7 linked regions of the Rattus norvegicus genome follow. The protein of the gene in region 1 interacts with the protein of each later gene in a pairwise test. Links are inferred from orthologs where the notes say so. Each region holds a gene or a part of one and is shown in the gene's direction. Other genes may lie near its edges. The genes, in order: Disc1, Cdc5l, Gnptab, Kalrn, Cep63, Dpysl2 and Crnkl1.

The links.
Region 2: the proteins of Disc1 (region 1) and Cdc5l interact in a two-hybrid assay, tested with the Homo sapiens proteins (2 studies listed by BioGRID and IntAct). The link is inferred for Rattus norvegicus from reciprocal best matches to the Homo sapiens genes DISC1 and CDC5L.
Region 3: the proteins of Disc1 (region 1) and Gnptab interact in a two-hybrid assay, tested with the Homo sapiens proteins (2 studies listed by BioGRID and IntAct). The link is inferred for Rattus norvegicus from reciprocal best matches to the Homo sapiens genes DISC1 and GNPTAB.
Region 4: the proteins of Disc1 (region 1) and Kalrn interact in a two-hybrid assay, tested with the Homo sapiens proteins (2 studies listed by BioGRID and IntAct). The link is inferred for Rattus norvegicus from reciprocal best matches to the Homo sapiens genes DISC1 and KALRN.
Region 5: the proteins of Disc1 (region 1) and Cep63 interact in binary tests that used the Homo sapiens proteins (3 or more experiments, as listed by UniProt). The link is inferred for Rattus norvegicus from reciprocal best matches to the Homo sapiens genes DISC1 and CEP63.
Region 6: the proteins of Disc1 (region 1) and Dpysl2 interact in a two-hybrid assay, tested with the Homo sapiens proteins (2 studies listed by BioGRID and IntAct). The link is inferred for Rattus norvegicus from reciprocal best matches to the Homo sapiens genes DISC1 and DPYSL2.
Region 7: the proteins of Disc1 (region 1) and Crnkl1 interact in a two-hybrid assay, tested with the Homo sapiens proteins (2 studies listed by IntAct). The link is inferred for Rattus norvegicus from reciprocal best matches to the Homo sapiens genes DISC1 and CRNKL1.

What each region holds. Positions count from the first base shown.
Region 1 is NC_086037.1:69,910,502-69,914,775, forward strand, and holds the start of Disc1 (disrupted in schizophrenia 1 homolog), read left to right. Parts: upstream 1-1,474; 5' UTR 1,475-1,629; coding exon 1,630-1,684; intron 1,685-4,274. UniProt on the Homo sapiens protein: Involved in the regulation of multiple aspects of embryonic and adult neurogenesis. Required for neural progenitor proliferation in the ventrical/subventrical zone during embryonic brain development and in the adult dentate gyrus of the hippocampus.
Region 2 is NC_086027.1:23,096,897-23,100,396, forward strand, and holds part of Cdc5l (cell division cycle 5-like protein), read left to right. Parts: exon of another isoform or gene 1-386; intron 387-2,718; coding exon 2,719-2,931; intron 2,932-3,500.
Region 3 is NC_086025.1:24,686,668-24,690,816, forward strand, and holds the start of Gnptab (N-acetylglucosamine-1-phosphate transferase subunits alpha and beta), read left to right. Parts: upstream 1-1,349; 5' UTR 1,350-1,500; coding exon 1,501-1,617; intron 1,618-4,149. UniProt on the Homo sapiens protein: Catalyzes the formation of mannose 6-phosphate (M6P) markers on high mannose type oligosaccharides in the Golgi apparatus.
Region 4 is NC_086029.1:80,298,749-80,302,248, forward strand, and holds part of Kalrn (kalirin), read left to right. Parts: intron 1-1,877; coding exon 1,878-2,016; intron 2,017-3,430; coding exon 3,431-3,500. UniProt on the Homo sapiens protein: Promotes the exchange of GDP by GTP. Activates specific Rho GTPase family members, thereby inducing various signaling mechanisms that regulate neuronal shape, growth, and plasticity, through their effects on the actin cytoskeleton.
Region 5 is NC_086026.1:112,050,147-112,053,646, reverse strand, and holds part of Cep63 (centrosomal protein of 63 kDa), read left to right. Parts: intron 1-833; coding exon 834-948; intron 949-3,008; coding exon 3,009-3,206; intron 3,207-3,500. UniProt on the Homo sapiens protein: Required for normal spindle assembly.
Region 6 is NC_086033.1:45,182,354-45,185,853, reverse strand, and holds part of Dpysl2 (dihydropyrimidinase-related protein 2), read left to right. Parts: intron 1-606; coding exon 607-772; intron 773-2,294; coding exon 2,295-2,386; 3' UTR 2,387-3,500.
Region 7 is NC_086021.1:153,797,615-153,801,114, reverse strand, and holds part of Crnkl1 (crooked neck-like protein 1), read left to right. Parts: intron 1-1,076; coding exon 1,077-1,247; intron 1,248-2,301; coding exon 2,302-2,493; intron 2,494-3,114; coding exon 3,115-3,174; intron 3,175-3,500. UniProt on the Homo sapiens protein: Involved in pre-mRNA splicing process. As a component of the minor spliceosome, involved in the splicing of U12-type introns in pre-mRNAs.

The sequences.
Region 1 (4,274 bases):
AGGACCAGTATGTTCTCTCTCTCTCTCTCTCTCTCTCTCTCTCTCTCTCTCTCTCAATTATTTGTTTATTTTTTTAAATATTTATTTATTATAGATAAGTACATTGTAGCTGTCCTCAGACACACCAGAAGAGGGCATCGGATCCCATTACAGATGGTTGTGAGTCATCATGTGGTTGCTAGGAATTGAACTCAGGACCTCAGGAAGAGCAGTCAGTGCTCTTAACCACTGAGCCATCTCTCCAGTCCACAGTATGTTCTCTTAGCTGTCAGGCCAGCTTCCCGGCCCGTTTTAAGACAGTTTATGTTATGTATTCAGAGATATTCCTAGCGATCCTTGGGTGCAAGTCAGAGATACCTGAGAGCATTCAATGGCAGGCTGGCCAATTCATCTGCATTTGCTATGGAATACCTCTTGGGGGAGGAGAGGGTTAATTTTAGCTTACCACTTGATCACAGGCCACCACTGAGAGGAGCCAAGGCAGGAGCCTGAAGGCAGGCCTGCTTACTATAACACACAGCATTAACCTCCAACCAAGAGCTCACCTCACTGCCAAGCAGGTACAGCAGGAACCGCAGAGGATGCTGTTTGCCAGCTGGCTCATAGATGGGCTTCAGTTCAGTTAGCTTTCTTGGTTAGTTCAAGACCTAGGTAATGGTGCCGCCCACAGTGGGCTGGGCCTTCGAAGGCCAGTTAACTGTCAAGACATTTCTTACAGACACAATCTGCCCTAACCCTAGCCCTGGGCTGTGTCAAACGGACAGGTAAAGCTAACTAGGACACTGACAGCCCCTTTTCCAACTGGATTTTCACTAAATCCAGACTCTCTGCTCATGTCTTTATCAACTTCAAGCCCCATCCACCCATGCTAACGTTAAGGCTCCTGGTAACAGGCAACTGGCTGCCCCACCTCTCCAGGGCCTTGTCTTCCAGTGGTCACAGGTTCCTCACTTCCTGTAGAAACTCTCCCATGCTTCTTCCTAGCGTCCCACTCCTCCCCCACGTTCCACCCACAGCCAGGCCTCCTGGCTTCAGGCTGACTACTCCCCACAGTTCAGTTTTGTAGGTTTATTTTTGCCTCCGGGTCCAGAGGGCCAGGTTACCCGTGACTGGCACTTCCTGGACCCAGTGTCCTGTAGCAGGTGCTTTGCTGGAGCAGCCAAAGGGAAGGGATGGTGGAGGTGAGCCAGCTGCTAGGAGCTTGGCACAGGCTTGTGTGCTCCTGGCCAGCCCCGCGCTGCCAGCGATCCTCAAGTCATTTTTAACAGCTGCTCCCACCCCCCAACCTGTCATCTGTCACTTGGTAGGAAGAAGTCCCTCTCTTGTCCACCCTGCCTTTTACTCCCAGGGTCGGGGAAGCGCCCAGTTTTTCGGTCCCTGGTCACCCTGCCCCATCACACTTCCCCTCCTTGGTTTCCTTCAAGTGAAAAGCAAAACTTTCTGCGCGCTGCGGTCTGGGAGCCGCGAGGGGCGGCGCGCGTGTGCGAGGGGGCCGAAGCTGGAGAGGAAGCGGCGGTCCTGGGCAGGAGGAAGGAGCCAGCCCTCGGCTCGGCCCCCTGCCCGTTTCCCGCCGCCTCCGCGGTCGCAGTCACCACCGTTGCCGCCGTCCGGAGCGCAGCCAGCCGCACGATGCAGGGCGCGGGTTCCCGGGGCGCTTGGATCCACAGTCCGAGCCACTGCCCAGGTAGGGCCCGGGGTCTGACGGAAGGCGAGCGCGGCCTGCCGAGATCCGGGCGCACCCCGGTGCGGGGGAGGGAAACCGAGGCAGGGAGCGGGGCGTGCCGGGTGCGGGCTGTCGCGTCTCCGGCTGCCACTGCAGCTCCCGTCCAAGCGCGTCCCCGCTGGGGGGAGCCTGGCGGCCTGGGGCGCAGTCGGTGGAGGGCGGCGTCCGCAGCGCCTGAGTGCAGCTCGGTCCTGGGACTCTCTCTCGCGTGGCCGGCGCGGACCCTGTGGGGACGCAGGGCGAGGTTGGGAGAGGTGTGGGAACTGCAGCCCGCACCTCCCGTGGGGCTGCTCGCCGCCCACTTCCGAGTGTGGACTGTGACGCGCAGGGCAGCGCAGGCTGAGGGGACCCACTCCATTTTCCCCCGTCAGCATGGGCCACCTACCAACCCTAGTGATGACATCGAGTTAAGTGGGCGGCCGCTTTTCAACAATGACCTCCGCAACTCACTGTCAGAAAACCAAGGAAATGAATGTGATGGCGCACGCCTCTGTTGCTAGTACGCAAGAGACTGAGCCAGGAGGATTGCGGACACTTTCTAATACAGCCTGAGACGCTATCTCAAAAACCCAAATCAAACCAGAATAACGGAAAAACAAAGCAAAGCAAAACAAAACAAAAACAAGAAAAAAACAAAAACCAAGCAGGGAGCCCAGCTCCAGACTGGGCTTTGCAGTTTGGGCGTGCCGTGCTGAAGGAGAGAGGGCAAGGGACTTAGGCTCTTATTTTAGCTCTTGGAGCCTCAGTTTGCCCATTTGTGAAAGGGGCACTAGCCACCCGCTTGCCTGTCTCCTTAACTAGGTTCTATGAAGAATTTTTTTTTTGCAAATGGGAGTTAGAAAACACAGGGTTGATGGGTGAGTGTAGGGTGAGAGTCTCCTGCACATGCGTCCTAGACTCGGGCTTGCCTCAGTTTTTCAATTTGCAAAATGGAGCTGATTTTCCTCCCGACTTGGTCGGGTTTTTAAAGGGTTTAATGTGGTAGGAGGGCATTAAACCCCTGGTTTAATGTGTCTGAGATACACAGCAAGCTCTCAAAAATCTTTTAGTTGCCCAGGTTAGCCTTAAATCCCCTGCATACCCTAGGCTGGCCTCCAATTCGCTAGCCTTGGCCTCCCAAGCGCTGGGATTACAGGTGTGCTCCACTACGCATGGGTCCCTAAGTATTTATTTATTTTTTTGACCGTACAAGACCTAATAATTACGGGTAATACAGGAATGCCAGTGTGAGTTAGTTAGCGTCTGAATTACAGGATATTTTAAAAGACATTTGGCATCTGATGTGGAGACTGTCAAGGTTTAGCCAGGACTCTGCTCACAGCAAAAAGAGCCCTGGATGAGAACCCTGCATTCTGAGCTGCCTCTCCCAGCCTCGGTTCTCTCTTCTGTTGACAGAAAGAGAAAGCACCGTTCACACTGAGTGTTGCCCTAGGATCAGGAGAAGCAGAACATCTGGAACTGGGGCTGGTGCCACCTTTGCAGAAAATGCATGGGCCAGGCACCTGCTCCTGCCCTAGGATGAGGTCCTCCTCAAACCTGTGAGGGCTGGTGCTACCATTCTCATCTTTTCTTCCATGAGGCAAGGGCTAGTCACCTGCCTGTGGCTTTGGTTGTTAAACAAGGACTGAGGCTCAGAAACCAGGTGCTGGTGTCTCCAATCACTGGCTGAAGGGAAGCCATGAGGTAGAGCCCAGGTTGAGAGTAGACCTTTTCTGGTCAAAGGCAATGCTTGGTCTGTTTCTGCCTTTTATACCTATTTTGTCATCTATCTATCTATCTATCTATCTATCTATCTATCTATCTACATCTATCTACCTCTATCTATCATCTATCTATCTATCTCTCTATCTATCATCTATTTATATCTATCATCTATCTACCTCTACTATCTATCTATTATCTATATGTCTATCATTAATCTATCATCTATCTATCTAACATCTATCTAACATCTATCTACCTCTATCTACCTACCTACCTATCTATTATCTATGTCTACTATCTATCTATCTATCTATCTATCTATCTATCTATCTATCATCTATCTCTCTCTATCTATTATCTATGTGTCTATTATCTATCTATCTACATCTATCTATCATCTATCTCTCTATTATCTATATGTCTATCATCTATCTATCTATCTATCTATCTATCTATCTATCTATCTACCTACCTACCTATCTCCAGCCATCTGCTTACCTACCTACATGCAGTACTAGGGACCACACCTAGGACTTTGTGCAATGCTAGACAAGCAGGTGAGCACTTCAGCACACCGTCCTACCTCTAGCTGGCATTTTTCATAATTGCAGACCCTAACAAAATGAGAGTAAATCACAGGAAGAACTTCGCCTTCCCCCTAATGTAATATTTTTATTGATTATTTGGGAATTTTATACAAATGCAATGCATCCCACCCCACTCACTTCCTATTCCTGCCACCCTCCCACCTTTGTGCCTCTCCTCCCCTCAACAAACAAACATCACCAAATTCAATTTGTGTCTCTCACACAGTCATTGTGTTGCTCCCAGTGGCCAGTCCCTTAGA
Region 2 (3,500 bases), on another chromosome or scaffold:
TTAAGCTGTTAACCAGGCTGGAAATCAAATATCTATGGACTGTGGTCAATGTAAAGCTAATTGAGATATCTTAACCAATGAAAATGTTAATTTGTATAACTAATTTTTAAGACATACCGTATTAACTTGAAATTCTATGCTTTTAAGAGTTTTTGGATGTGTATTGAAACCCACATGTGAGTGAACTCTAATATGGGTATTAGATCGTGTTGAGTACAGACCTTGATGTAGCTCTGTGGAATTTGCTGCTCGGCTCTTGTGGCGGGAGGACTGTTGTGGACGTGGTTGAGAAGACAGTTGATACCAGTTCTCTGCTGATCTCAGCTGGATCCGTTCTCCATCTTGGCTGCTCATTAGAACTTACTGGGGGCTTGGGAAACAGTGCTCTGAAATCATTGAATCAGAAACTGGGGCTGGTCATTTTTTTTTTTTTTTCTTTTTTTCGGAGCTGGGGACCGAACCCAGGGCCTTGTGCTTGCTAGGCAAGCGCTCTACCACTGAGCTAAATCCCCAACCCCTGGGGCTGGTCATTTTGAAGAGCTTCACAAATAATTATAAGTTTAGTCATGGTCTATTCACTAGTTAAAAAAGGCATGCTCCAAAAATGTTTTCTATGGAAGAGAGTAAATGTAAAATAGTCTCTTCTTTCCTTGGCTGCATTGTGAGACAAAATTAAAATATTTTATTTTGCAAAATAAAATAAGTATTTTTTTTTATTTTTAATTGTGTGTGTGTAGTGTGTGGGCATGTGCACTTAAGTACAGGTGCCCAAGAGGGCCAGAGCATTGGGTCCTCTGGAGTTGGGACTTAGAGGAGGTTGTGAGCTGCCTGACTCGTGTCCTTTGTGAACTATTGTTCTAGCGTAAGTAGGTCTCCATACCATCTTTCTAGAACCTAGATCCAGAAAGTTCTGCTTATGCTCTCAAGGACAGGGGAGAGTTCTTATGTCTAGAAGAATTGTTTCTCAGAAGTACTCTTTCCATTGTTTGGACTCTGAGGTGTAAATCACACAGCTCAGACCGCTGCTTTTGGGTAAAGAGATAGGTGTTTCTTCTGTACTCACAGAGCTGCATAGATGTTACTGTACCTTTAGGACATTTTCTTCACACCAGGAAGAACCCCTATACCCACACCAATCACTTCCTCCTCTTCTCAATGTGGGGCTGAAGGCTGCACTAGTTCCTTTTCACATAGATTTGCCCATTCCTGATACTTCATGGAAGTGAAGTCATGTTGCGTGTTGGCTTTTGTGATTGGCAGCTTTTATTAAACATTGTGTTCTGGAAGTTCACAAGTAGCGTGTTAGTACTTTCCTGCTTTGTATGGCTGTGTGCTGTTCTCTTGTGTAGGTAACAGCTCGTTTTGTTTATCCATATACCATGGATATGATGGGGTTGTAGTCGTGTTGCTGTGAACAAGGTATATATGCTTCTGCCATAGCATGTCGTCACTTAAGTATATGCTGGGAAGGACATGGCTGGCACTGAGTATACTCAGGGGTCCTTCACCTCATTTGAACTTCCTGGTTAAAACAAAAATCTCCTCATCAAGTCAAAGAGCACCAATATGCTTATGTTCTGACATCATTGCATTGTGAAAGAGAGGTCCTGTGTTGTCTTTGATATGGTGATTTGCAGAAGGCACACTGCTCATCCAAAAGAAAGCACAGCTGCTCTCTGCTCTTCCCCCACAACAGGTCTTTTGTTGAAGTTGAAATTTAAAGATTTTCAAGTCTTTTTCTCAGTCCTTTACTGATTACAGAGGAATGAAAGGTTGGCCTCTTCCTGTCTATAAAGCCATCACTGTAATCAGCTCATAACTGTTGATTGCTTGTTCTCTGCCAGGTTCTGCATGTCTGGGGTTTGTGTACATCATCTCCTTTAAGTTTCACAGCTAACTGTCAGCAGTGACCACCGTTTTACTACTGCTGGTGAAATGGAGGCACTGAGGTTGGATAACTGCTCCGTTGGAACAGCTGGGTAGTCCCACTGTTTCTTACCCACTGTTTGAGCTGCCTGCCTGACAGTAGTTGTTGGTTCCTTTGGCAGATGTATTATGCTGTGAACTTACTGATTTACTGCCCATGAGGGGAAAATAAGGAACAGTAGCAGTATACTTGGGTTTAAGTCAATTGCAGAAGCATAAAAGCTTAGCCTGTATAGATGTTGAGAGAACGATGGCTTTAAAGGAGCTTTATTTAAAGTAGCTTTAGCTCCATCCCATATTCCAACATGCACACATGCAGTATCCTTCCCCACCCCTGTTAGCTCACTTGACTTAGCCTTGCAGTGCAGTAATCTGGAGGTGGGTGGGTACAGTACCATTTCAAGTGGCCTGCTGCACTCGGGTGGAATACTGGTCGGTGTAAGACGGGGAATACATGTGCTACTGAAGTGAATTTTGGTATGTAAAAGATGGCTAGGTGGCAGTCTAGAATGACTGATGAATGGTCACAGAAATCATTTGCACAAGGTAGAGAGCAGTTTTTCCATGCTCCAAAATTCAAGCCCTCTTTGGAGTGAATTTTGGGTGAAGTTATGGAATATTTGGGTATAAGGTAATTCCTTGTTGAGGCCATTTTGTGTTACACATTGTATCAGTGAAGGTGGGAGGAACTCTGGTGTGTTTTGCTTTAGGTACTTAGTTTAGCCCTGTTACATAGTAATCTGTTTTTTCATGTATATTGAGTGATTTTCCGCTCCTTCCCCAATTCCCCAGATAAACAGGGGTCACATGACAACAGAAGCCAAGAGAGCTGCAAAGATGGAAAAAAAGATGAAGATTTTGCTGGGTGGTTACCAGTCCCGCGCCATGGGGCTCCTGAAGCAGCTGAACGACCTGTGGGACCAAATCGAGCAGGCGCACCTGGAGCTGCGCACCTTTGAGGAACTCAAGAAACACGAAGACTCTGCTATTCCCCGTAGGCTAGAGGTAACGGCATGGGCTGCCTAATCGCTCAGGAGCTGTGAAGGGCTGCCCAGTCCTTCCTTTCCCCTCCTTCTAGCAGGTATCTCTAAGGTATCTAGGTATCTAGACTGGAGTGGGTTCTGACTTTCTGATCTAGCCCTGCCTATGCTCAGATGGGTATCAAACAAACGGTTGCCGCTCTGAAGACTCTGCTCATTTTCTTTTGTGTTAAAGGATAGACAGTGTGGGAGAGTAAGTCAATTTTGCGACTAGTTTTCTTGAAACTTAGTGGCTTGTCATATATATGTGGCTCTTGGAACCCGCATCTTTTAGTTTTATGATTGAAGATGCTGCACATCACAGAACATCAGGTCCTTTGGCCAAATTGGGTTTAGATTTATCTTCTAGGTGTGCACTGTGGCCGCTGCCCAGCTTCAGGGCAGTCAGGGCTCTTTGCAGTGTGTGTGGGTGTGGAGAAGACTGCAGAGCTCTTACAGGATGGCAGTCACAGCCAGAGCAACGAGTGGCTGCGGTACTAGTTTGATAGCAAAGATACTGGCTGTTGGTTTCTCTGTGAACTGTGAGAACCTGAG
Region 3 (4,149 bases), on another chromosome or scaffold:
CCTGCTTCTGCTTCCTTAGTGCTGTGATACACACACACACACACACACACACACACACACACACACATACACACACACACACACAGAGTGAATGAGTAAAGTTGAGTTTCAGAATATTCACCCAAAAGGTCTCTCGAATAATAATATGATGGTATGTAAGGGGGGTCAGGGTGGAGTTCCCTACGGCATCTTCTTTAAGTGCCCTGTATCATTGATTTCCTAGTTAAGTACAGAAAAGATACTTTGTTGGTAATGTTTGCTTTGTCCTTTTCTTTTTGGTGCTGGGAGTGAACGAAGGTCTTCCTCCATGTTAGGCAAACACTCTATTACCGAGTTACTTCCCTGTCCAGATAAACTTGTGTGTAGAAAATATTCATGGCATTCTAAGTTGCAGTTCCCAGACAGAAAAGCACAAAGAGATTCCACAAAGCCCCAAATCACAAAGCTTTGCGAATGTGGAGAGACACAATTGTTGCAGACCAGAGCCAAATTATCTTGGGATACTTCTGGTTCTTTTGAAAGACACTCTCATCTCTCTGTCTGCGCTAATAGCTTGGTGGCTATACTATTCAGTTGTATTTGAGGGTCCCTGAAATGGTTCAGCAGGTTAAGGTGCGTCCAAACCTGACTACCTGAGTTCAATTCCCTGAACCCACAGCATGGAAGGACAGAAATGACTGACACTCATCCTACACATACACAGGAGTGCCCATGCATACACAAACAGACGCAAATAAGTAAATATAGAAAGAAAAAAGTAATAGATGTTCTTAGCAGTTCATCCATCAAAAACTAAGGCATCAGATAGAATCTAAACCCGTTAGTTTACTTTGCTTTGCCACAGTCAGTCTACCTGTGACCTCAAAAATGTATTAGGTAAGTGCCTTGATTAGTGACTTTTGTTTTTCCAAAACTAATTATACCATTATACCTCGGGTAGGAACGTCTAGAGTAGATTATGCCATTTGGGGCAAGCCGAATGTGCATTCCCTAGCCACGATCTTTCAAATTTTCTTTCAAAGATAAACTTGAGACCGGTGCTGTGTTTTCGGACCCAGCAGGATTGCCCATCTGCATAATTCAGGGGACAGCCTGGGTTGGTTACTTGTTGATTGGGTGGGTCCCACGGGGCAGAGGGCAGAGGGCCGGGCTCGCAGCGCACGCGCAGATGGGAGGGCGCGCGCCTGCCCTTGCCCCTCCGCCCTCCAGGTGGCGCTGGCGACCCGCTGCCGCCTCTCCGAGGCCAACCCCGGGCGGCGCCGGGCGCCTTGCGGGCCGCGGGTCCGCCTCCGCCGCGCCGAGGGCGTGGGCTCCGGGCTCCCGGAAGCGGCGGCCGCGGCGTGGAGCCCAGCGGGCTGTCGGTCGCTGGAGCGACAATGCGCGGCAGCCGGGGACTGTGAGCTAAGCGCGGCGGCGCGGCCGGGCGCCCCTGAATGGCGGCTCGCTGAGGCGGTGGCGCGGCGCGGGCTCCTCCCGGCGTGGGGTGGCGGGGCCGGGGTGATGCTGCTTAAGCTCCTGCAGAGACAGACCTATACCTGCCTATCCCACAGGTATGGGCTCTACGTCTGCTTCGTGGGCGTCGTGGTCACCATCGTCTCGGCTTTCCAGTTCGGAGAGGTAAGTAGCGGAGCCCGAGCCCCGGGAGTCGCGTGCGCAGCCCTCCCGGACCGAGACCCGCAGTGCCCGCACCCCGAATCTCCCTCCTGCCTCCCCATCCTCCTTGCAGCCTGGGAACCAGCACACGGCCCACCCAGGCGCGATGAGCGCGCATCCTCTCCCCGGCTCGCCTGAGCAGCTGGACTGGACGTCCGGGCCTCCCATGCTTAGCGTGCGGATGGGTCCCCTTCCTTCTCCAGGGTGTCCCCAAGAGTCCTCCGGTCATTTGATTTTGGCTCTCAGGCCTTGCGCTGGTGAAACTCTCTCCTAGGGTTTGTGTTTTTCTGTAGCGATCCTTCATTCCGTGGCCTCCTTCGGATCCAATCCTGCGGTGCCACCCTACTAATCTTTCACCTTTGACAAAATACCGTGCCTTAATGTTTCTTCTGGATCTCAGACTTTGTCCTAGAGGCACGCGCGGTTTTGCATGTGAATTTTGCGCGGTTTTGCATATGGATTTTGCAGAGTGAAAGGGGGATTTTTTTTATTAACTTTTTTCCCATTTCATAATTGCTCTGCTGCTTTACTGCCGCAGCATGTCGGCGGCCGGAGGCCTTGCTAGTGAGAATGCACACGCTGATGGGAAGCACCAAGTGCTTATCTTAGAGGAACTTAGAGTAGGGACCTTGTCAGGTGACTAGGACTGCCTGCCGGATCTTGGACTCCAGCCCCGGACCTCTTGAGAGCCAGCACCGACCCTTGCGTCACGGGCTATGCTTATACATTTTAGATCAAGTCGCTGGCCCTTCTTGGACTGAGAACTGCGCTTAATTAATGTTGAGTAAAGCAGTTTGGTTAGACTGTAAACTCTTCAAAGGGCGCAGGCAACCGGTTTGGGGGGTGTGAAACACCAGGTTAAATGAATTTTATGCTCCTTTGGAGACATACCTTGTTACTACTCTTAAATTTCAGTTATTTGATTCTTGGTAGTCCGATAACAGTATAATCTATCTTAAGTGTGCAGAGGGGTATGAGCAGGTCAGCAATGCATGGGCACAAGTGGGGCGGCCATTCAACAAAATACTGCCCCTAGAGACAGGAAGAAAACGTGTGCTTTCAAAGATTTTGGAATTGTCTCCCTGTTTTATTTATTTGCTTGTGTTTTAGTAAGAGGTTTAAAGGGTTTTATAATTAACAGAGCGCTCTTATAAAACAGCACAGTACACATGTGTGTGCTCTGTGGAGGAGGTGGTAACAGTTTAAATATAAATGCTGTAACTCTAGCCCGAGCCCAGTGCCAGGCACTGCCAGTGTGTACATTCTAAGATCTGTTTAGTGTTTAGCATCTGGCTGAACGATATGGCCTGTTTCTAAGTGTGATTTTAGTGGTTCTAGGGACTAGAAAAATAATTTTGCTGGTGAGAATGAGAACCTTGTCCAAGCGTGGAGTATTTTAATATCCCACTACCTCCTGGTCAGTCTTTGTTCATGTCTTGTAACTTGATATGTTTATGCACAGTTAGTGCCTTACTGCTTGTGGATGACTCTTGATTTTAAGAGAGAGCCTCACTAAGTTGCCCAGACTTGCAACTGAACTTGAAGTTCAGTCTTTCTTTCACAGCCCTTCTGAGTGCTAGGGTTCCTGGTGCATTTTTTTTTTTTAAGATTTATTTATTTATATGAGTACACTGTAGCTGACTTCAGACACACAAGAAAAGGGCGTCAGATCTCATTACAGATGGTTGTGAGCCACCATGTGGTTGCTGGGATTTGAACTCAGGACCTCTGGAAGAGCATTCAGTGCTCTTAACCACTGAGCCATCTCTCCAGCCCCCGGTGTATGTTTTTAACCTGGTTCATTTTAAGTGAGCTGTTTACTAACCACGGTGTAAAATAAATCTATTACAGCCTTGAAGAGTTTGAGACAGGGTCTCACCACGTAGCCCAGGTTTGGCTGGAATCCCCTATGTAGACCAGGCTGGCCTTCCACTCAGATCCATCTGCCTCTGCTTCCAGAGTACTAGGATTCAAAGTGTTATGCCAGGAGGCCTGGCTTGTAGGCACAGATCGTAAAGTTTAGATTAAATGAGAGAAAGAAGAATAAAGAGTGTCCCCAGGTAGCAGGAGAGGTGGTGGCAGCTAGCCTGTGGTGGGGGGAGGGCTGGGGAGAGCTATCTGGATGTGACTGATGGCTCCAGTAATACTAACCATGCTAATAACGAACACATAGTCCTCACTAGGTATTCTCTTAACTGCTTTACGCACCCTTTTAGTCGTCACAGTATCATGTGATGTGGACAGTAATATTCTACTCACCTCACAGGTAATGCAGCTTAGGTGTTTGTACAAGTTAACACAGCTAATTCACAGCAGAGATGAGCTTCAAACTGAGACAACTGGCTTTGATGCCATCGTCATAATAACACCTCTTTTAAAGATTTATCTATCTATTTTTTTTTGCACACCAGTGTTTTGCCTGTATGTATATGTGTGAGTAAGAGTGTCAGATCCCCTGGTACTGGAGTTACAGACATTTGTGAGTAGCCATGTTGG
Region 4 (3,500 bases), on another chromosome or scaffold:
TCTTATCATTGCAAAAGAACTCAGCGATCTGCTTGCCTTTGTTAAGCACAGATGCCCAGTCCCAGGGGCAGGAACTATGTCACTCCGTCCCCACCAAGGCCATGCTGGGCTTCACACTCCCTCCCTCTCTCCTCAGAGTAGGGAGACATCCATGGATATAACAACTTGCCTTGGCATCAGTTTGCAGTAGGACTAGGCACAGAAAGACAGCTCACATCCTTAGGGGCTGTAAGTCCAATAGTTAAAGAGACAAAGACCAGGAGATAAATGATGCTTTAAAAATGACATGGGAAATACTAGAGACCACACCTTAGTCAAGCTTGTGAGAACATAGAACTGTGCTCTGTTGGATGTGATCTTCAGGGAAGGTGTGTGGAAAGCAAGGCCTGTGAAATCGAGTGCTCAGTCTTTCTCTGCAGTCAATAGGGATAACTGGTGGAACCCTCCTCTACCAGGAAATGGAGATGGAGATGGTCTCGGATGGATGCAGGCTGAAGAATAGCTCTAAGGAGGGTGGGTGGCTGAACACTGCTTGGAGCCGTGTTGTAAATGTACCCCTATTTGTTTCATGTGATGAGACAGTACCACGTCTCTGTGCTCCAGCCTCTCTTGCCTCATCCCTAGAAGATCAGAGGGAGGTAGGGAGCCTTCCAGGGGCTCCATCATTCACCCATCAATAAAAGAGAAGGGTCCCACAACAAGGAACAAATAAAAAAAAAAGTGGCCTAGAAATAGCCACTATTTATTCAGTACTGTGTGTTACTTCTTTCTTTCTGTGATGAGACACCATGGCCAAGGCAGCATATAGAAGAAAGAGTTTATTAAGGGCTTACAGTCTCAGAGGGTGAGTCCATGGCCATCATGGTGGGGAGCATGGCAGCAGGCAGGTATGCATGGTTCTAGAGCTGCAGTTGAGAGCTTACATCTTGACCCACAAGCACAAGACAGGGAACTAACTCGATATGGTATGGGCTTTTGAAACCTTCACAGTCTTCCTCCAGTGCCACACCCTCGCCAACAAGGCCACACCTCCCAATCCTTCCCAAACAGTTCCAGCAACTGGGGACCAAGCATTCAAACATAGCGCCTAAGGGAGCCATTCTCATTTAAACCGCCACAAGCATAAGTACAGACAATGCCTTAAATCCTCATTGCCTCGTCTGACTCTCGCACAAGCCTGACAAAGAAGTAGGTCTTATTTTGTCATTGATGTTGCTGTTGTTGATGTTGCTATCCCCACCTTAAAAGATGTTACCTTTTCAGGGAAGCCCAAACACAGAGAGTTTAAGTGATTATTCACAGCGACCAGCTGGCAAGAGGCAGAACCAGAACCCAAATCTGCATATGGCTGGCTCCACTTATCCCATTTTCAATCAGTCTTTAAAAGCTGGCAAGCTGTCAGAAAGGCGAAGGAGTTAGGAAGAGATCAATTATGCTGAGGACAAACCTTTCTTCCTTCACATTTCTCCCATCTAAAAACGTTAAAAGTGAAAACACCCTTAACATACATGAGGCTCACTATTGGCACCAGACTTTTTTTATTTCCATCAACCTAACCTCTTTTTTTTTTTTTTCTTTTTTTCGGAGCTGGGGACCGAACCCAGGGCCTTGCGCTTGCTAGGCAAGTGCTCTACCGCTGAGCTAAATCCCTAACCCCCAACCTAACCTCTCAAAGCCAGGGGCTATAAGGATTTCTCCTGCAGCGTAACACGTTTGTAACTTGATTCATTCTAGTTCTGAGTGTGGCACTTTCTTTGGGCTCTAGAGTACGTGTGTGGTGCAATACTAAACTTTATTAATGAGACCTCTTAGAGCTTTTAAAGCTATATACATGGGTCATTTCTCTATCCCCCACCCCTGCCCTCCTCTGCTTTCAGGATGGATGACGGCCGACTCTTGGACTACCTAATGAATCACGATGAGCTGATGGAAGAAAAGGTAGCTTTCTACATTCGAGACATCATGGAAGCTCTGCAGTACCTTCACAACTGCAGGGTGGCACATTTGGACATAAAGGTAACAGAAAATCAGTACCTGTTGAAGTGAAGCAGACGAGTTCAACTTACCAGCCATTTCCTTGAGGAATACAAATCTGGATTTCTTTTTCTTGTTGTTGCTTTGTTTTGTATTTATAAAGACAGGGCTTCTCCATGGAGCCCTGGCTGTCCTGGAACTCACCCTGTAGACCTGGCTGGCCTTGAGCTCAGAGATCTGCCTGCCTCTGCCTCCAAAGTGCTGGGATAAAAGGCATGCATCACTATTGCTCAAGGGAATGTTTGAATTTCTTTTGTCTACTTACTGTGACGTCATGTGACTATTAAACTAGGACTAGACTTTCACCCTACTTACGTGCATTGTTCAGGAATGTCAGGAATGAAGGAGAACACACCTGAGAGACGGTGGCAGGTGGGCTAAGAGAAGGCGTGAAAGCTTTAGCCAAGTAGTCTAACCTTATAGACATCACTTAATGTCCTATTCTCTTTTGTTCTGTAAGAAAAAGGAGCTTCTGAGGGCTGGAGAGATGACTCAGTGCTTAAGATCCAAGTTCTTTCCCTAGCCCCACATTGCTTGGCTCACAACCACCTGTAACTGCAACTGCACTGAATCTGATGTTTTCTTATGGCCTTCAACACACCTGCACCCAAATGGAAGCCACTCATATAAATACATACACATAAAGAGAAATAATTATGTTGCAAGAAAGGGTTTTTCTGTGTAGCCCTGGTTATGCTGGAACTCATTCTGTAGACCAGGCTGGCCTCGAACTTGGAGATCCACCTTGTTCTGCCTTCTAAGTGCTGAGATTAAAGGCCTTTGTTACCACCACCCACCAATACACACACACACACACACACACACACACACACACACACACACGCATACACACATATACATGTATACACACACACATTTACTGAGAAGCTTCTTTTTTCTTAAAAAGCTATTTCTTTTCGTAACTCACTGCAAGAGCAAAGGGTAGGTAAGAAAGACGTGCTCTTCTGAAATAGGCATATGACTTAGTAGCAGAACGCCTGCCTAGCATGCATGAGGCCCTGGGTTGGATCTCTAACACTAGAGTGGGGAAGTACAGGCTGGGTGCAGCAGCCCTTACCTTTTAAACCCAGCAGTCAGTAGACAAAGATGGGAGGATGTCTGTAAGGTCCAGGCCAGCCTGATAAACAAAGTAAGTTCCAGGCCAGACAGGAGTACACAGTTAGCCCTGTACTCCTCCCCCAATGCCAGCCAGCTTATCTAAAGTGCAACTGAAACAGAGTTTAGTGAGTTTGAAACCTCCTTTGCACTGGGAGTATTCCACATACACAAACTGAATCAAAGAATAATAGAACGTTGTTAGCTAACAAATTCTAGCTGGGGGTCAACCAAGACCTGATCTTGCCTCTCTTGTCCCCACCTTCCTGGGTCCCTGTAGCCTGAAAACCTCCTCATTGACCTCCGGATCCCAGTGCCTCGAGTGAAACTCATCGACTTGGAAGATGCTG
Region 5 (3,500 bases), on another chromosome or scaffold:
TAAGAAGTAAAATGTTTTAACCATAGAGTTTTCAGTTTCAGAGACAAAATATTCATGTTAAAGAGTTGAGGAATTTAAATTAGCATATTTAAAGTAGAACATTTCTAGAAAAATTTATCTTCAAGTTATAAAAATTGAATTATATAAGGCAAATGGGGGGCAGGGGTTAGGTCGGAGCCAATTTAGTTTCTGAGAAGGTATGGTCATCAAGGGTCAGGGGAAGGAAGTGCTTTGTGGTGAGGGATGATTACACTGATACAAGAGGCAGGCACGGAGTGAACGGCCTGATGGCAGAAGTAAAGCTTAGCAGTTTGGGTGAAAAAGATCCTGTCAGAAAAGAGCACTGGACTGCGAGGTGTGCTGCCTTCGTGGTCTTAAGTCTCAGAAAGATCAGCTCTTGAGTAAGAATAATGAGCTGGGGACTCTTTTAAGAGTTCTTGTGGTTCTGCAGAGTATGCAGGGTGTGTGTGTCTGTGTGTTGCTAAGGGTGATGAAGTGTGAGTCTGTTGTGACAGTCCCTGGTGGCTTTCCCTCTCTCACAGAGCCAGAGAAGACCCGTACAACTAGAACAGAACTGTTAGTAAAGCTGCAGTGTCTTTATACTTCCGTAAAGTTTAAATGAGGGGAAGGAGTGGAGGAAAACACAGAGGACAAAACTACCTCAGTGCTGACATGGTTTGCTGCATCAGTGATAGGGGAATTGCAAGTGACTTAACTATAAAGTTTAAGGTGCTAGTAGGAGGTATCTTGGGCATCGAGAGGGTACACTTAGATAATCCATCTCATGAGTTTCAGGAATTTTATTTATATGTGGTTGTATTTCTGCCATACAGTTTGGAATCTGTGAGTACAACATGTAAACAGCTGAGCCAAGAACTGATGGAGAAGTACGAAGAGCTGAAGAGGATGGAAGGGCATAACAATGAGTACCGGACAGAGATAAAGAAGGTGAGAGCCTGCGTCTGTGCCGGGCTCAGGGCTGGGCGGGCGGCGCTTAGTGAGGGATGAGCTCAGGACACTGTCCGATGGTCAGTGGAAGAGCGTGGCAGAAGTTGTGAGGAGAAGCTGCTCAGGGGACAAGGAGGGTAAGAGAGGATGATATAGGTGATCAAAGTACATCGTGCATGTGGGGGAGTGTGAAAGCCTGTACATTAAAAACGTGATCGAATATGTTCATGATGATTTCTAAACAAGTGTATTTATTATTCTTCAAAAAAGATATTATATGACGTATCATTTGGTATTTTCTTATTGGCTAAAGATGAATATATATTTCCTTTGTGCTGTGGAGTAGTTAATGTCCTCATTGACTCTTGAGTTATTCCGAGCCTTTTTATTAAGGGGTCCTGTCCCCTGTGTGCTGACGCACTCTAATCCTGGCCTTGGGAGGTGCAGACACAGGATAGCAGGGCTGGCCTGGGCTACACAAGATTGTCTCAAAATACCAAAAATAAATAAAAATTTTAGGAGGATTTATTTGGAGGATTAGTCTTGTTATGTAGCCCAGGCTGGCCTCAAACTCATGATCCTCTCGCCTTTTGAATTCTAAATACTGAGATTAGAGGTGTCTGTTACTCTACTTGGCTTAATTTGTGTTTTTCATTACTTCTTGAGATTATTGTTAGTTCGTGTGTGTGTGTGTGTGTGTGTGTGTGTGTGTATGCATGTGTGTATGCATGTGTATGTGGGTGTATATGTGTGTGTATGCGTGTGTGTGTGTATATGTGTGTGTGCATACGCATGTGCGTGTGTAATCCAGAAGTAGATATTAAATGTCTGCCTATTGCTCTCTCCCCACACCCTTACCTGCCTCAGGGACTCTAACTGAACTCAGTATTCATTGGCTGACAAGCTTAGCTGGCCATTGAACTCCAGAATCAACCTGTGTCTGCTGTCTTTCTCCCCCGTGCTGGGATTATAGATGTACACAACCTTCCAAGGTGAATTTTATGGGCGGTGCAGGAATCTAGACTGAGGTCTCTCTGCTCCTGCTTGCAGGCCTGTGATAGACTAAGCCATCTTCCTTAAAGGTTCTCGCCCCTTTCTGTCTCTTATTTTTCTGTTATTTCTCTTCTGAGAAACAGAAAACTAGATAAAGAAACAAACAAAAACCTAAAACAAACACGCTTTAATTTGTTGCTGTGAAAAGAATGAAAGTCTTTTCATAGAGACTACATAAATTAGACATAGACTTTGTCATCGACCCCTGTGATTGAGTAACACATGTTCTTCTAAGACCTAATGCATGATTTTGAATTTAACCACCAAATTTTCAGAATAGTTATACAAGTTGGTAAATTGATGATTTTATGTATATTTAATCTAGGAAAAATTTTATGTCTTAAGGTAAGATAAACATTACCTTATTTTATTAATTTTTTTTATATTTTTCTTTGTTAAATTCTATATATTTTAAACATTTACTTGTCAATTTCACACATACACACACACACACACACACACACACACACACACACACACACACACATACACACATGTACGTACGTACTATGTATTGTATCATATTTATCTCCGGTACCCTCTTTTATTCCCTTCTGTGATCTCCTTCCCTATGTTGTCTCCTTCTTTCTCTTTGTGTTTCTACTGAGTTTAAGTAGGGTTGCTTACATGATCATTGATAGGGAGTTATCTACTAGAGCAATTTACCAGTGACTACACTATTGAAAAAAGTGACAACCCTCTCCTGGCAGCCATTAACCAGGTGTTTTTCTCTCCAAATACTTTGTTCTTCTGGGGCCTTGTGTATGCTAGGCAAGTGCTATAACCTTGAGCTACATCTCTAAACCTTGGTTGTTGAGATGGTGTCTTCCTGCAAAGTTCAGTCTGGCCTTGCGACCATTGGCCAGAGCAGGCTGTTCTCAATCTTAGGGTCTTCCTGTGTCTGGCTCTGCCTCCTAAGTGTTAGAATTATGGCTGTGCAGATTCATATGCCTGAATCCTAAATACTTTCTCTGAACTTTTAATGTTTCTTTTGTGCCTCTCTACAGCTGAAGGAACAGATTCTGCAGGCTGATCAGACTTACAGCTCTGCCCTGGAAGGAATGAAGACGGAAATCTCCCAGCTAACCCGGGAGTTGCACCAGCGAGATATCACTATTGCTTCTGCCAAGTGTTCCTCCTCAGACATGGAAAGGCAGCTGAAGGCAGAGATGCAGAAGGCGGAAGAAAAGGCCGTAGAGCATAAGGTAAAGTCCACCCAGAGCTCTCCACTTAATGTTTGCTTGTTTGTCTTAAATGAATGAATTTATTCAGGAATAACTTCCTTACTTACTTCAGTGAATTTTTAGTAGATACCTGCTTTGGGCTGGTTAGCAAGCAGGACAGTGAGGGTTGGTGGGGAGGTCAGATGAGTACAGACAAGTGGTACACGGGCAAGGTGTTGGTGGCACAGCTGAGGAGTTAGTTATCTAAAGATCTCGATTCCTGCAGGAGAATGAGAAAGCTGGAAGGGACCATGCGGAGCTAGTCTGATGCAAGAC
Region 6 (3,500 bases), on another chromosome or scaffold:
TTTGTTGCAGAGTGTGGGGTAAGGAGCCAGAGGAGGGAAGAACGGCTCTCGAGTCATGGAGGACAATGATGTGGAAGATGTCAGTTGGGTTTTGAAGGCTGAGTAAGAGTTTCTCAAGCCAAAGGGTGGAGATAAAGACACTAGAAGACGGATACGATCTGTGGTGTACAGTGTATTCAGGGCAGGGTGAACAGTGCATGGCTGGTGGTCAGGAACTGCGAGGTGGAGAGGGAGTGGAGCTTTAAGGGAAATAAGAGAGGAGTGCTATTGGGAAGACACCTTCATTCTGAAAATGACACAAGACCCTTTTCACAGTACGACCGGGGGCTTCTTGGAGGGTTCAAAGGTGATGTTGACGTAGTGGGGAAAGTTATAAGAAACCAGTTGAGTAACTTGTTGTAGGGGAGTCACCTTGGGAGAGCTTTTGGCCTAGAACTTTGGGGGCTGGTTGCACATCTGTCTCTGTTGTACCTATCCATACTGGGGAGGGGCTTATCCCCACACATCACAGGCCCGTCTTGGCTACCATTCTATCACACTGAGAAGGTGCAGGGAAGATGTCCTCTGTGAACATGACATAGGCTGTGGGACGATTGTGTGTTTCAGCTGGCTGAGCTGAGGGGGGTCCCTCGTGGCCTGTATGATGGACCCGTATGCGAGGTGTCTGTGACGCCCAAGACGGTCACTCCGGCCTCATCAGCTAAGACATCCCCTGCCAAGCAGCAGGCGCCACCTGTTCGGAACCTGCACCAGTCTGGTTTCAGCTTGTCTGGTACGGCTGGGGGGGTAAGGTGGGGGGTGGGGGGCGTTCTAGGTAGGTTCAGCAAGCTTTGTGGAGCCATTCCGAGGCTTTTGGCTCCACCACTGCAGAGACGGAAAGACTATACATGACAACGGAGTTTCAGCATCTTCTGATGGGCCATGTGGTGCTGAGACACTCCCCGTGGGTGACCCCTTTCAGACTGAAGGGACAATCCTTGATCTGTCACGTCCATTGTTAAAGAGGAACTGTGCTGGATGAGTGTGGAGCCTGGAGTTTCAGCAGCCTCACCTTGCTCAGGCCTTCTGTGTCACAGCAGAGCCCCCTGTAGAGTTGTTGTGACAGCCACACCTCAGTGAGTGGAGAAGAGTAGATTTCTGTCTTGGAAAGTTCTGCCCCTCTTTCTCCTGGCCCATAACAGGTCCTTTCCACTCTCCACTTCCTTAGCTTTAGACAGATATCTAAGGCCTTGTGACCTGTGAACAGCATAGTTCATTACAGACTTTCCTTTTCTTGTCCCATCTGCCGGATTTTAGAAAATACCATTTGTGCCGGTGATGAACGAGGACCGTGTCATGGTGCTTTGGGTTGGCAGACAGGCCCTGTTGTCCTAAAGTGTGAGATTGGTCACAATGTGTATCATCTACGAATCGTTCACATAGACAGCACAGGTTGCCAGTCCGTTATGTAAAAGAAATGGTTGGGACTGGAAGCTAGTCTGCCTCTTTAAAAACTGGAAAAATATGTAGATAATGAACCCTATGTTGTGACTAAGACCCAAGTCCAAGCACAAAGTGTGGGCAGGGACAGATGGCTCAGCAGTTAAGAATGAACTCCGATCTTGTTGGGGACCCAAGTTTGTTCCCAGCCCCCATGTCAGCCAGCTTACAACCACTTGGAACTCTAGCTCCAGGGGATTTAGCGCCCTCTTCTGGACTCCGCAGGCACTGCACTTATGTGTATAACTTCCCCGCACTCATACATGTAAATACACATAATTAAAAATAGAAATAAAATCTTAAAAAGCCAGCATGCCATGCATCTGTGTTTCATATGCATATGACACAGTCTTGGAGGGGATTTGATACAGGATTTTTAGTACCTCAAGTTTGACTACAGTTAGTCATATCAGGTCAAGTGTGGAATCTTCCACTGGTCACATCCTGTCAACCCTAAAATAGTTGTAGAGTTTAGAGCATTCTGGGTTTGGGAATTTCAGGTCTGGGATTCTTTACCTGAACCATCCATACTCCTCCTGAGTGAGAGGCATGTGTCAGAAAAGCCATATTCACTAGTACTTTGCATCAAATTTATACTTGCCCAGGGAGAGATGACCTGTAGGCTGCAGGCAGGTCCTCCTACTTCCTGTAGTTTGAACTTACCGTAGTTAGTGAGGTTTGGAGAAAGGGGTGGGGATATGTGTGCTTGGCTCAGCTTTTCCCCCAGGAGTGTTCCTGGGCTTACCGCAAGAGTCTGATTTTATTTCTGAAGACCCTCACACTCTTTTTTTTTTTGTCTCTTCCCTCTTCTCTAGGTGCTCAGATTGACGACAACATTCCCCGCCGCACCACCCAGCGCATTGTGGCACCCCCTGGTGGCCGCGCCAACATCACCAGCCTGGGCTAAAGCTCCTAGGCCTGCAGGCCACGTGGGGATGGGGGATGGGACACCTGAGGACATTCTGAGACTTCCTTCCTTCCAATTTTTTTTTCCTTTTTTTGAGAGAGCCTGTGATAGTTGCTGTGGGCAGCCAGTTCCTGGGGCTTCCTCTTGGGCCCCCTGCACTCGGTCTCCCCTGGAGTTTCTGAATTCGCTCACCCAAGTCCCTACACAGTCATGAACACCACACCCAAGCCCAGCCACCCACCCCACACTGAGCTGCATCCAACATGCAGACATGCGCCACCATGCAGATCCCAGCAAGGGTGCCCTTATCACATCCTTGGCTGTGCAGTCAGCACCTTCCTGTCACGGGGAAGATTTAGTGAATTACCCTGAGCTGCCTTCTTTTCTTTTGAAAAATTTTTAAAAATGGTTTTCTTTGTGGGACTGGGGAGGGATGGGGGGGTGGGAGTGTTTTTTTTTTTAATACTAAATTGAAAGTCTGATTCAATATTAATCCTTGGGTCTTGAACTGGACATCCTAATGATGCAATTACTTAACCATTAAGCTGATTCCGAGGCTGGCAGGCTACCGCCGCCCCTCTGGAAAGGTTCCATGTGTCTGTATCACCCATCCCTTACTCTTCCGGGTCAGCTGTTGAGAAGAGACTGGTTTTCTTCTTTGGCCTAGATTTTGCAACAGATTAGACCTTTTGAAGGTTCTCTACCATTTTTCTGTGTCTCCGGTCTGTTCTGGCTTTTTCTTCTGCACTCTTGGAGAGATTTAGATGTTGGTCTCCTGGTTTGTGTTTCTTCGAGACAATGTGCTTTTTTCCCTGGCTTTTTGTTTGTTCTCAAAGCCAGGCATCTGAATTTGGCCTCAGACACAGCCTGAGCGGACCCTAGTTTTGACCCCCACTCCATAGTTTTGTGCTAGCCTGGTGTCTGTTTAAGATTGGTGCTAGCTGATTCCCGTCACTAGGAGGTGGCTGAGCTTGAGGCTTGCCAGACACAGGGATGGTCCTGATTATGTCACCAATATTGTCACATGTGGGCCCAGAATAGAGTCACTTGTGGTGGAAAGAGATGGGGGGAAGAATTAGACTGTAGGAGTAACAGTCTCCAGTTAAATCTGTAA
Region 7 (3,500 bases), on another chromosome or scaffold:
CAGCACACATTTATTGCTGAGCTCTCCATTGGAGCTGAGTGGTCATGTACAACGACTGTCTTAATTTCACTCTGCTTTGTGTGAAAATTACACCTTTAAATATGAATACCTGGAGTTGGGTGTCTTAGCACATGCCTCCAATGCCACCTCTCAGAAAATTGATGATTGACTCAGGCTGAGGCAAAGCTTAACTTTGAAGCCAGCATAGTACATAGACCTTATCTCGAAAACACAAAAGTGCATGTGTAGCCTCTTGAGAGCCATTTGGTATCCTGATTCAAGGGTCTTAGGGATAATGAGCTGGGGAGGCAAAGAACCAGTGCCCTCAAGCAGAGGAAACAACGTACAATGGGAACACAGATTGCCCCACAGATACGCCAGTTCCTCTCTTCCATGGTGTACACAGAAAAGAATAGAATTGGAGGGGTCAGATTCTCTCTAGGAGCCACAGATTAGAGGGTTTTCAGTGGGACAGTGACCTTCTGGCTAGTTTATGAAAATATTTTGGAGCAGGGTAGGGGCATAGCAAGAGCAGAGGCGGGGTGGGGGAGATCTGAGGATGAAGCTCCGTGGAAGAGCACTTGTGAGCCTCAGTCGAGGTCTGGGTTTGATCATCAGCACTAATTACCAAGGAGCAGGTGATAAAACCGGGAATCCGGTGAGATTTTTTCAAAAGTTCTCAGAAAAGGAGGTGGTCAGTAGCAGGAGAAAAGGGCAGTTGTGAAGAAATTAAAAGTCGGTTGACACTTGTTCAGAGAGTCAATGAAGCAGAGAACAGGAGAGGAACCAGAACAGACTCGTGGGGCTTTGGTCATGAGCAGGCATGCCATGAAGGTGTTGCCTACCAGCCTGAAAAAGGACCCAGGATGGAGAAGCTTTATGACAATATTACATATGGAAGCATTAATATAGATCTATAAATGTAGAGCTATAAATACAGAATTATTATATTAAATATGAATCTTTTCTGATTGAAGCCTCAAAATTTAATTTATAAGTAATAGGTTGTAGTTATTTTCAAGGCGTGACTAAAATGAGATTATGTTTTAGATGATAATCTTCCTACCTGCTTTTAGTTTGAAAGGGTACGAGTTATCTACAAATATGCCCTGGATAGGATTTCCAAGCAAGAGGCCCAAGAGCTCTTTAAAAACTATACCATCTTTGAGAAGAAGTTTGGTGACCGGAGGGGTATAGAAGACATCATCGTGAGCAAACGGAGATTCCAGTATGAAGAAGAAGTGAAGGTGGGCACTGCTGTAGATGGTTCATGCTGTTAGAGGTCTCTGGGCTGGTGCACGTGATAGCAAGTGGGGCTACTGATTACTCTCTCGATGACGCCTCTAACAGACTTGAGCTGTTTCAGGCAGATTAGAGTAAACGTGGCTGGTGGAAAGGAGAGCAAGCCATACTTGGATTTACTCTGCCATTCCCAGGTGCAGACACCTTTAACTAATAGCAAGCTGAAGAAATGTGGGTCCTAACACTTGGGAGATAGAGGCAGAAAATTGTTAGTTCAAGGCTAGGCTAGGTGTCATATCAAGTCTATGGCTGAAAAAAAAAATGTGGCATTTATTTGAGCTCATTTTTGGAGAAGGATGGGAGGGTCAGATGGTTCTAAACACCTGCTCTGCACGAGCAAGAGATCTACAGTAGACAGTCTGTTCTTAAGCTCTGCAGTTTACCAATTTGATTTCAGTCAAAAATAGCAGTGTTTTCTCTCACTGTTCAGTGTATCTTTTGCTTAGTCAGATTGAGATAGCTCCGAGCAAAGGACTAAGTCTGGTGTTAATTACAGTGGTAGATCAGTAAATGTGTTCAGAAAAAAATGACTGTTGATTTAGAGTCTGGTATATACCCATTATAATTTCATTTTCAACATAAGGGTATACAGTCATATGTGTAAAAAAGTACATGTATACAAGTTGAAAGCTATCCACGGTAGCTCAAACCAATGTAGTCCCAGGACTGGAGAGGCCAAGGCAAGATAATTGTCATGAGTTCAAGGCTAGCCTAGGGTGTGGAGTGAGACCCTGTCTCAGAGACAATGGAATGTCATTATCAAGCAGTTCTCATACTTGGTGGCAGCAGAGGAAAGAGTCTCTGCTTCGAGGTCCCTACCTTTTTTGTCCCTTTTGTATGATCTCAGGCATGATGTTTTAAAAATGAGATAGCAGGTAAAGATCTAAAGGAGAAAATTACTAAAATATAGAAAGTTTGGTGTCTCCTTACAGTTCTGACAGCCTGTGAAGTCTGGCTCTTGGTTCTGTGTTTATCGGTTAAGCTGGGGTCTTTTTCTAGGCTAATCCACACAATTATGATGCATGGTTTGATTATTTACGCTTGGTGGAAAGTGATGCAGAAGCGGACACTGTGCGGGAAGTCTATGAGCGAGCCATTGCCAATGTGCCACCCATCCAGGAGAAGAGGCACTGGAAACGCTACATCTACCTCTGGGTTAACTACGCACTCTATGAAGAGCTGGAGGCCAAGGTGAGAAGGCGAATGGGGGCAGCCATGAATACCTTTCTTACCCCAGCATCATGACCTTGCCTGCTCTGTGTATTAACCGATAGCTACAATCTTTGAGACAAACAGTTTTAAATTTTTTTAGGGCCCTAGCAACCAATTTACATCATTCAAACCATGCCTGTTAAGACATAGGGGTGTTTTGTTTTAAAACTTTGAGGCACAGTAAGATAGATAACATTTAAAACTTGAAACAACCAGTGAAGCAGTTTAATTACTTATAGTTCCCCAATTTGTGTTTTATCACAAATAAAGATTAGGGCCAGATTGTATATTTTTGCTTTTGGTAAAAACCAAGTGGCATTTCCAGAAGCCAGTAATAGGTAAAGACTATCCTCTGTTCATCTGAGACTGTAACATCTTTCTGCTGTCCAGCTAAGGTCTTTCTACATTGATGCATTCAAACATGGCCACATTATTACTCTTAGAAAAAGTTTGATGATCAAAAGTAGTTGCTGTTTTTGACCATAAATCAATTTTTAAAAATAGTGTCTTGAGAAATGGAAGTCTGTTTTTACTACAGGTATGAAATAAATTGACAAAATAAATATTAGCATTATTTATCTATTTCTCATATTAATACAGGATCCTGAGAGGACAAGACAGGTGTATCAAGCATCTTTGGAACTAATTCCTCACAAAAAGGTACACTTGCTGGATCAAAATCACATTTTATTATGTATCAATTGAATTTTCAAGTGAGTGGCACCATTAACAGTCTATTATGACACGTCAGTAATGCAGTTACCAGTGTAGAAATCCTGAGGAGGGTGGGGATTCAGAGAGGCAGAGTGGAAGAAAGAAGACAGAACACATACATAGGGATTCCAAGTGGGTCTTTTGATAACTGAAAGCTTGCTTGTGTGCTTGAACACATGATGTCTTTGCATATGTTAAGATGTTTACCTCTACCGCATTTCCCAAAATGCAAAACAAAAGAACAGTCCTGCTTTGGAAGTGCTGACTGAGTT